Chlamydomonas reinhardtii: one gene and its partner. The protein of the gene in region 2 binds, or shares a complex with, the protein of the main gene of each other region. Links are inferred from orthologs where the notes say so. Each region holds a gene or a part of one and is shown on either strand. Other genes may lie near its edges.

Region 1 (4,177 bases), on a different chromosome or scaffold from region 2:
GGCATGCTTCCTACCGCACGGGCAGTTCCATGCTAACCCGCGCCGAGTCGCCTGGCGTTCCAACTCAGGGCCCAAACAAATCCCCGCTACTCAATCCCTACCTCCTCCACACCCATCGTCACCCGCAGCCTACCTGCTCCATGTGGTGGTGCAACACCAGCTGCTGCTGCAGCGCCGGCGCCAAGGGCCCCGCGCCGCCCCGCAGCCGCTTGAAGGCCAGCGTGTTGGCGAGATGGCTGCGCGTCTGCGGGTCCACGTAGCGCGCCGGCAGGCCAGTCACGAAGCAGATGGGCGGGTGGGGCGGCGGCGGCGCACGGCTAGGCTGCATCCAGCGCGGCGGCACGATGGCGTTCACAAGCTCCAGCGTCGTCTGTGTGGAGGTGCAGGAGGGAGGGAGGGAAGAAGGGGTGAGACTCAGACGAAAGGGAAAAAGTTTGATCCTCACAGAGGTGAATCTCAGGTCCTGTGCTTCTTCTTGGTCTCGAATAATGTAGATGTAACAAACTGAGTGCATCCAAACCAACACGCTTGGCGGGTACGCTAATGAGACTCAGACGAAAGGGAAAAAGTTTGATCCTCACAGAGGTGAATCTCAGGTCCTGTGCTTCTTCTTGGTCTCGGATAATGTGCCCTGGGAAGCGGAGATCCCGAACCCCGACACGCTTTGTGGGTAACGCTAATGAGACTCAGACGAAAGGGAAAAAAGTTTGATCCTCACAGAGGTGAATCTCAGGTCCTGTGCTTCTTCTTTGTCTCATGCGTGTCTCACGAACGTTTCACGCCATCGTGGGTGTGCTCGTGCGTGATACGTGCAGTGCCAGGAAGGCGAGCAGAGTGGCGTCACAAAAACCCAAACTTGTCATCAACGGGCCGAAGCCGCTCGGGATCTACTATCAAGCTGTTTGGAAAATGTCATCATCCGCCAGTGTGATCTGCCCACCGCGCAGGCACCAACCATAAGTGCAACGCGACATGCCACGATGCATGTTGGTGTGGTTCGCATGCCTGAGAGCGTGAGCATGCTTGTGTACGCTTGCAAATGATCGTGCGAAGGCATGCATGACTTCATTGGCTGGCCTCGGCTCAGACGAAAGGGAAAAAAGTTTGATCCTCAGCGAACGAGTCTCAGGATCCTGTGCTTCTTCATCGCCGGAGACACAGCCAGTGCTAGCGCTGCCCTCTGGCCCGTCAGTGGTGCGACGGCATGCATCCCTTCCCCTTGCATGCGTGGTCATGTCGTGTCCTTCCAGCGATCCTCCCGCTCCCCGACCACCCACACCCGCTGCCTCTGTCCCCTGCCCTCGGATCCCTCCGCCCCTGCCCGACATCGACTCACGTGCTCCTCGCCGTCCGCGCCCTTGCGCGACCGCCACTTGACGCTGGGCCCACTGTTCTTCTTCTTGACCACCTGCGCCTTGCGCTTGGTCTCCTCCTCGCGGGCTAAGAGCATCTTCAGCGACCTGGGGGTTGGGCCAAAAGAGGAGTTGTAGGGAATGCATGAGGATTAATTAAAAACGCGATGGCAGGAAGAAGAGAAACAGACCAGACAACAAGGCGCGAGTCATGAGGGGTGGATGGATGCGGTCCAGCGGCGCAAGTGCAGGGCCACGCGCGACGGTCTAGCTAGCCCAGGTGCGGGCTGGGTGCTCTCCGGCTCTCGAGATCCACCGGCCTCACCGAGTGTTCTCAATCTCGTTCAGCGCCGCCTCTGCCAGCAGCTCCTGCTGAGTGAGCGGCCGCCAGTCCGAGTTGTTCTTGGCGCGCGGCTTTCGAGCGGGCTGCGGGATTGCACAGGATGAGAGGGAAGGGTGGGGTGTGTCAGAGCGCCTGTGCCGCAAGAAGCACGGGAAATGGGCAGTTGCGCAAACAGAGCCGGCGGAGCCGGCGGTCGAGCCTCTTCCCCCCCTGGCTTGTTGCTGGGAAGCTGAAAGCTTGTGAAGCCGCGCCCCGCCTAACCGACCCCGGCACACCGGGCCCTACCTCCCACTCACCTTGGCTTTGTACTGCCGCTCGATCTCCGCCTCAGCCACCTTGGCCACGGTGGACCGGCGCAGTGTAGGTGCGATGTAGATGATCGGCTCCCGCGGGATCTTAGGCTTCTTGGCTGGCCGCGTGTTGCCATCCTCGCCCTCGTCGTCCTCGTCACCTGCCTCCTCGTCCTCCTCGTCACCCTCGCTCTCCTCCTTCTTGACCTTGGGCTTCGGCTTTGCCTTGGGCTTTGGGGGTCGACCCGGCGGCTTCATCATTTTCTTCCTGCGCAACGGGCCAAGGGCAGGGCACGAGGGCAGGGATATCGCGATCAGGCGGTGGGTCGGGGGCAGCGCAGCAGGCACGGAAACAACGAGTCAGCGCAGGGGTGCCGCTGTCCTTTGCGCCCCACTCACCGCGGTTCGTCATCCCGAACCTCCACCTCATCATCGTTTTCTGCCTCCTGCAAATTTGAGCAAGGGGCGCAGCCATTAGGTCGAACGATCCCGGCTGCGCGTCCTTCTGTGCATGCACAAGGTCTTGGTATATTCAAATGCTCACCTCTTCCTCGTCGAAGTCAGAATCGATAATGTCCTCAGGCTCGGACTCGGTCTTGTAATCGTCATCGACTGCCTCTTCCTTGAAGAATTCCTGGTTCCAGAAATCGTTATCGGCAGCGTCCTCCTCCTCGTCTAACTGCGCGGCCATGCGCCGGCCGCGCGTTGTCCGCTGCGGGAGGTCTCGCCCCATTTTCGCCCGGCGCTTGGTCTAAAGGCGGCCTGGAGCCCTTAATTTCTGTTGTTTTCCCAGACTCGTCGGCTTATAACGATACACGAATATAAAAGAAGGTGACCAGGGCAAGCCAGGTGCACGACACGTACCCCATCTCGGAGCTCCCATCCCAGGTTATCCGAAGTCATTGATATCCATGGTTGTCGGCGCCTGACGCTCCTGAATAGTACGTCTCATACAGGCCTCCGTAGATTTGTGGGTCTCTCCGGTGAAGGCGCGCCAAAGTATGGAAGAGGACGTGGGGAACAGGCGTACTCCCCAGGAGGAGAAATGAAAGCTAGTGTGGGAATTTTGGGGATTGGCTGTTTTAGCGTGGTTGGGACTACCCGTTTCCAAGCACTGTTGCAGTTCCCTAGCGGGCCGGCCCAGCACTGCTGGATGCCTGGGCGGGACAACCGGATGGCTCGGCGGGGACTGTTGGATGGCCCGGTCGGGTCGCCCCCAGGTAGGCAGGTTATGTGGCTGGGCTATGCTGGATGCCCGCGCCGGCTGGATGCGTCTCCGACCCCGATGCCCTGGATGGCTCGCCCAGACATCCCTCCCACCCTCCTACTCCCCTCGGCGTGCCTGGCGCGCCGCAGGAGCCTCGCTACCTGCCTTGCATCAGGGCGGGCTGTGGCTTGGCTTCTACTTGTGGCGCAGTGCTCGAGACCAATGTACGGTTGCGAAGGTCGGCAGGTAATCAGGGGTAGGGCGGCTCCGACCATAGCCGATCAGCTTTTAATGCACGTCGTGCTCACCACCTTGTAACCACACACAACAACAGCTACTGTACCGCTGCTCCCCTGGCTGCCGCGCACCTCTAGCACGGAGGAGTCGGCATAGCGCAGCTGGCACCGTCCGCCCACAATTACAATCGTCCACATGCTTCACAGCGGTTCAGAGTCCTGAGGCGGTGACAATGACAAGCCATCTTTTGCGTGTTACGGTACATTTCTCCCGCACTGGCTCCTACAAACCACACGGCGCAGTAACTGCCCGGCCGATCACGTCAACCATCGAGGCTCAAATTCAAACCACATACAATTCACAACAAATTGTTATCACGCATTTCTTAAAGGCAGCTACACCAGCAGCCGTAGCATCAGGCCCGGCGGCGGCGTGAGCGGCTGGTTGTCGCCGCCGCGTATCGCCACAAAGGCGCCCGACCCGTCGCCGCCGCCGCCACCCTCCGTCACCACCGGCCAAAGCGCACAGCGCCACGAGGGGTGCTCCGGGCTCGCGCCGCTCCAAATCGGCGACCGCGCGCCCGAGAACGACACCGGCGCCACACAGTCTGCCCGCACGCACGCCACCAGCCCTGGCGGCGGCTCCTCGATCGCCGGCCAAGCCACGCACCCAGCCACCGCGTACCCGGGCGGCGGCACAGGCCGCCAGATGGTGAGTGCCGGCGGCCCGCTGGACCGGAACACGAGCA
Region 2 (3,950 bases):
GAGGGGGAAGGGAGGGGGCGTGTGTGTGTGTGTGGGGGGGGGGATTACATTCATAATTATTTAAGAAGTGAAGGCATAGCCAGGTACAGTAGCGTGGAGGGGGGAGGTGGTGGTTGGGGTGGCGTGGTGGGGGGTGGTGAGCTGGGTGGGTTGGCACGTGGGCGGTGGGTGGTGAGGTGGGGAGCGTGAGGGCGAGGGAGTGGGTTGGGACTCGTGCAGAGGTTGGGGCGAGCGTGTCCGCTCAGGTGCGGCAAGGCAAAACACCGGTGCAGCGGTTGAACACCATCCTGCAATAAGCCGACCTCCCTCACCACCCGCCCTTACCCCCACCACACCCTCAACCCCACGCCCGCATCCCCCTCGGTCATACACCCCTCCACTCCCCCTCCCCCTTCCCCTCCCACCCCGCCCCACCCCGCCCCCACCTGGCCCTTGAAGAAGGGCACGGCGTGTGTGAAGCTGAAGCCGCAGTCCACCACCACGCCCGCGCCCGTGCGCGCCGCCGCGCTGCCGGCCCCCAGCACCGCCGCCGCCCGGTGCATGGCGAACACGGGGCCGGGCGCGGCGTAGAAGGAGCGGAATCCAAGGTCCTCAAACACCACCTGGGCGGGCGGGTGCGGGGGGAGAGGCGGGTGAGGGGAGAGGCGGGTGGGGGGAGAGGCGGGTGAGGGGAGAGGCGGGTGGGGGGAGAGGCGGGTGGGGTGGTGTGTGGTGTGTGGTAGTGGCGGTAGGGGGGTGAGCAGAGTGCCTCCCTCCTCCTGTTCGTCTCCCTCCTTGCCTTCATCTCGTCCTCCTCCTGCTCCTCCTCCTGCTCCTCCTGCTCCTCCTCCTGCTCCTCCTGCTCCTCCTCCTGCTCCTCCGCCATCCCCAGTTCCTACAGTCCTACCCCACTGCCCCCACCCCCATCTCCTCCACCCCACCCACCCGCCCACCCACACCGCCTCCGCCCAACCCCACCCACCCACCCACCGCCTCCACCTGCTGTGTGCCCGCCCGGATCACCTCCACCCCCTCCACCCAGCCTCCACCTCCACCCACCCCACACCCCCGCCCCGCACCTGCTGTGTGCCTGCCCGTATCTCCTCGAAGTTGAACAGCGGCTCCGACAGCAGCAGCCCGCACTCGGCAGGGTTGCGCCGCAGCACCGCCCGCACGCCGCGGGCCCACACGTCGCGCTGCAGCTCCAGGTGGCAGCAGTAGCCGCGGTCGAAGGGGCGGCGCAGCTGCAGCTGGGACACCTGCGCGGCGGCGTGGGCGGACGGAGGGTGCGTGTGTGTGTGTGTGTGTGTTAAGGGTGTGTGCATGTGTGTGTATGCGTGTGTGTGTGTGTGTGTGTGTGTGTGTGTGTGTGTGTGTGTGTGTGTGTTGGAGGGAGCGTGTGTGTGTGTGTGTGTGTTGAAGGGGGCGTGTGGGGGTGCATGTGTGTGCGTGTGTGTTGAAGGGGGCGTGTGTGTGTGTGTGAATGTGAGGTGAGGTGGGGTGAGGTGCGTGCGGGGGTGCGGCAATGGGAGAGTGGGAGACGCCATCGGCACCACCACGAATCTGCCCATGCGGGCCCATGAGGTCGCCACATGTGTGCTCTGTATGTCCCTCGCACCCGGCATCCCCACCTCTCTTCCCGCGCCTTCGCCCACGTTGTGCCCCCAGTCCCCCGCCATCCCCGCGCTCCCCTTCTACCCTGCTTTTTACACGGCGTGCCTCCCTCCCTCCCCGCCCTCCCTTCCCTCCCAGTCCCTCCCTTCCCTCCTCCCCTCCCTCCCTCCCCTCCCTCGTTTTTCCGTCCCTCCTTCTCCCTCCATCGCCCGTCCCTCCTTCTCCCCCCCCAAACCCCTTCCCTCATACACCGCCCTCCTCCCCCTCCCACCTCCTTGCTGTCCGCCAGCTGGTCGGCGATGAGTGTCTGGCGCTCGCCCTTGGGCTTGGCGGAGGCGTTGGGGAACACGCTGTGCGGCGTGCAAAGGGGGGGGGAGGAGGGGGAGGAGGAGGGGGAGGTAGGGGGAGGCAGGGGCACAGGGGGCGGGGCGGGTGTGTGGGTGATAGGCAGTGAGGAGCGAAGCGATAGAGCAATGGAGCATCGGTTGCGGACGAGATCAGTTGTTTGAAAAGCGGGGGCAATATTCAGTAGCCCCTACAGCCTCAGCAGCCGCAACACAAACCCCTGGGCGTGGTGCTCTTGCAGACCCTGACAACACCACACCACACACGTGCACACACAAACACACGTGTAGGCTGACTGCGGGCATCAGTGCTCCCACAAGCCGCCAACATCTTCCTTTTTGCACAGCTATAGAAACATGCAAACGCACCATGCCCACTACGGCACGCAACCAAACCGCTGATTGCCACGCCCTCCCTACCGCAGGGCGCCCTAACCGCAGGACCCACCGTGTGGGTGCCGCCTGTCCCGCAATGCCAATCTTGCAGTTGCCGCCGCCATTGTCGATGGCTACCACCGGCACCGCCGCCATCGCCGAGCACCGGGCGGCTCCGGAGCGGAGGGAGAGGCCTCCCGCTGCTCAGGGTGCGGGCTGGTGTTGGACCCCTAGGGGCCGGCTGCCCGTTTGGAGCCGGCCGGCAAGCGCCTTTAGGCCCCTGGAACCAAACAACTATAATATTACCAGGCTTTCGCTCGAGAGCTCACGGCTGAGCCATTTGCGCCCACTGTTTGCCGGCCGCTGTTCTCCTGAAGAGTCTTGCAATTCTGTTAATTCACATATCAATAATATCGTAAAATCTAATCATGCAATCAAGCGGCAATGAATTCTGGGCTTGTATCGTGCAAATGGAACTGAGTTATGAGGCGAACTACATAAACTGCTCTAAGGCTATTGTATTTACAAGGCGTACACACACTGGGCTTCTAGTTCAGTTTGCAGCTGTCAAGTTTGCCGATCTGGCCGTAATGCACGCTGCCCCTCGCCCTCCCTCGCTGCCAGAACTGACGCATTCGCTTGGCACCATAGATGCGTGCCGCACGTTACCATTCCGAACAATGCGGCACATATATGAGCACGCTGTGAGGGAGTTGCCTGCGGTCACCGTGTCACCGTGTATGCAGGGGGGTTATGAGACTGAAGGAGGGGGCGGGGGGAAAGGGGGCCACGCCCGCCATCACCAGCGCCCACAAGGCCTCCATGAGAAGCTCAGCTGTCAGGGACACACGGTGTGTTAGTTCCGACAGCATACAATCTTAAGTCCTTAGGGGAACTCGAGGGCGGTCTCAGTGTGAACTCTGATCGCTGTTAGTACACGCGTACTCCAAGCACAATCGCGTCGCCGACAGACAGAGCGCCAAACTCATATATGCGAGCTGATTTCCTTACATGTAGCTGCCACATTTGTCTTTTTATCTTGCCGCGTGTGTTTGGACTTCGACGGGCCAAAATCCTGCTTTTCTATCGAGCTTGACCTCATTAAAACTGCAATACATCACAACTTGAGGCCAAAATGGATATGTTATAGGTCGAAGTTTTGAAGCAAGCGCGCAGACAAGATGGGATGCAGCGCCAGTGTAGCCCGGCCGAATGATGAAAAGGCAAGTGCACCTGCGACCAGTAGCCTGTGTATCCGTTTTCACACCGATAAACCAGGCACAGCCTGGGCGCCGCTGCGCTCAGAAGCCTTCCAAAATGTGAGCGCATGACATGCCCTAAGCCATTTGCCTGTCTCCCATGCCGTTTGCGCAGTCGGCGCCGATCTCTGCGCAAAAGGACGCCGGCGTGGGCGCGGGCGCCGGCGGCAAGCCGGGCGCCGGCGCCAAGGCGGGCTGGTCGGGTGGTGGTGGCAAGGCCGGCGCGGCCGGCGCCGGTGCTGCCGCCCCCAACGCCACGCCGGCCGAGGAGACGGAGGAGCAGTGGCTGGCCGCCGACGCCGGCGGCATCCCCGTGCCGCTGCAGCTGCCGCCGCACCTGCCGCGCGGGCTGCGAAAGTTCTGGTCGGACTGCTTTTCC

Evidence for each region.
Region 1: CHLRE_08g382590v5 (region 2) and CHLRE_17g728200v5 share a complex: the UniProt entries of both Arabidopsis thaliana proteins name them as parts of the SWR1 chromatin-remodeling complex. The link is inferred for Chlamydomonas reinhardtii from reciprocal best matches to the Arabidopsis thaliana genes ARP6 and SWC2.

The regions. Positions count from the first base shown.
Region 1 is NC_057020.1:3,853,930-3,858,106, forward strand, and holds the start of CHLRE_17g728200v5 (uncharacterized protein), read right to left. Parts: upstream 2,801-4,177; 5' UTR 2,719-2,800; coding exon 2,530-2,718; intron 2,432-2,529; coding exon 2,385-2,431; intron 2,254-2,384; coding exon 1,992-2,253; intron 1,779-1,991; coding exon 1,678-1,778; intron 1,461-1,677; coding exon 1,337-1,460; intron 371-1,336; coding exon 134-370; intron 1-133. Other genes in the region: CHLRE_17g728250v5 (uncharacterized protein), read right to left, coding at 3,825-4,177. UniProt on the Arabidopsis thaliana protein: Component of the SWR1 complex which mediates the ATP-dependent exchange of histone H2A for the H2A variant H2A.F/Z leading to transcriptional regulation of selected genes (e.g. FLC) by chromatin remodeling.
Region 2 is NC_057011.1:4,509,997-4,513,946, forward strand, and holds the start of CHLRE_08g382590v5 (uncharacterized protein), read right to left. Parts: upstream 2,801-3,950; 5' UTR 2,469-2,800; coding exon 2,386-2,468; intron 1,944-2,385; coding exon 1,865-1,943; intron 1,239-1,864; coding exon 1,059-1,238; intron 603-1,058; coding exon 426-602; intron 1-425. Other genes in the region: CHLRE_08g382605v5 (uncharacterized protein), read left to right, coding at 3,494-3,535, 3,687-3,950. UniProt on the Arabidopsis thaliana protein: Component of the SWR1 complex which mediates the ATP-dependent exchange of histone H2A for the H2A variant H2A.F/Z leading to transcriptional regulation of selected genes (e.g. FLC) by chromatin remodeling. Binds to the promoter region of FLC chromatin.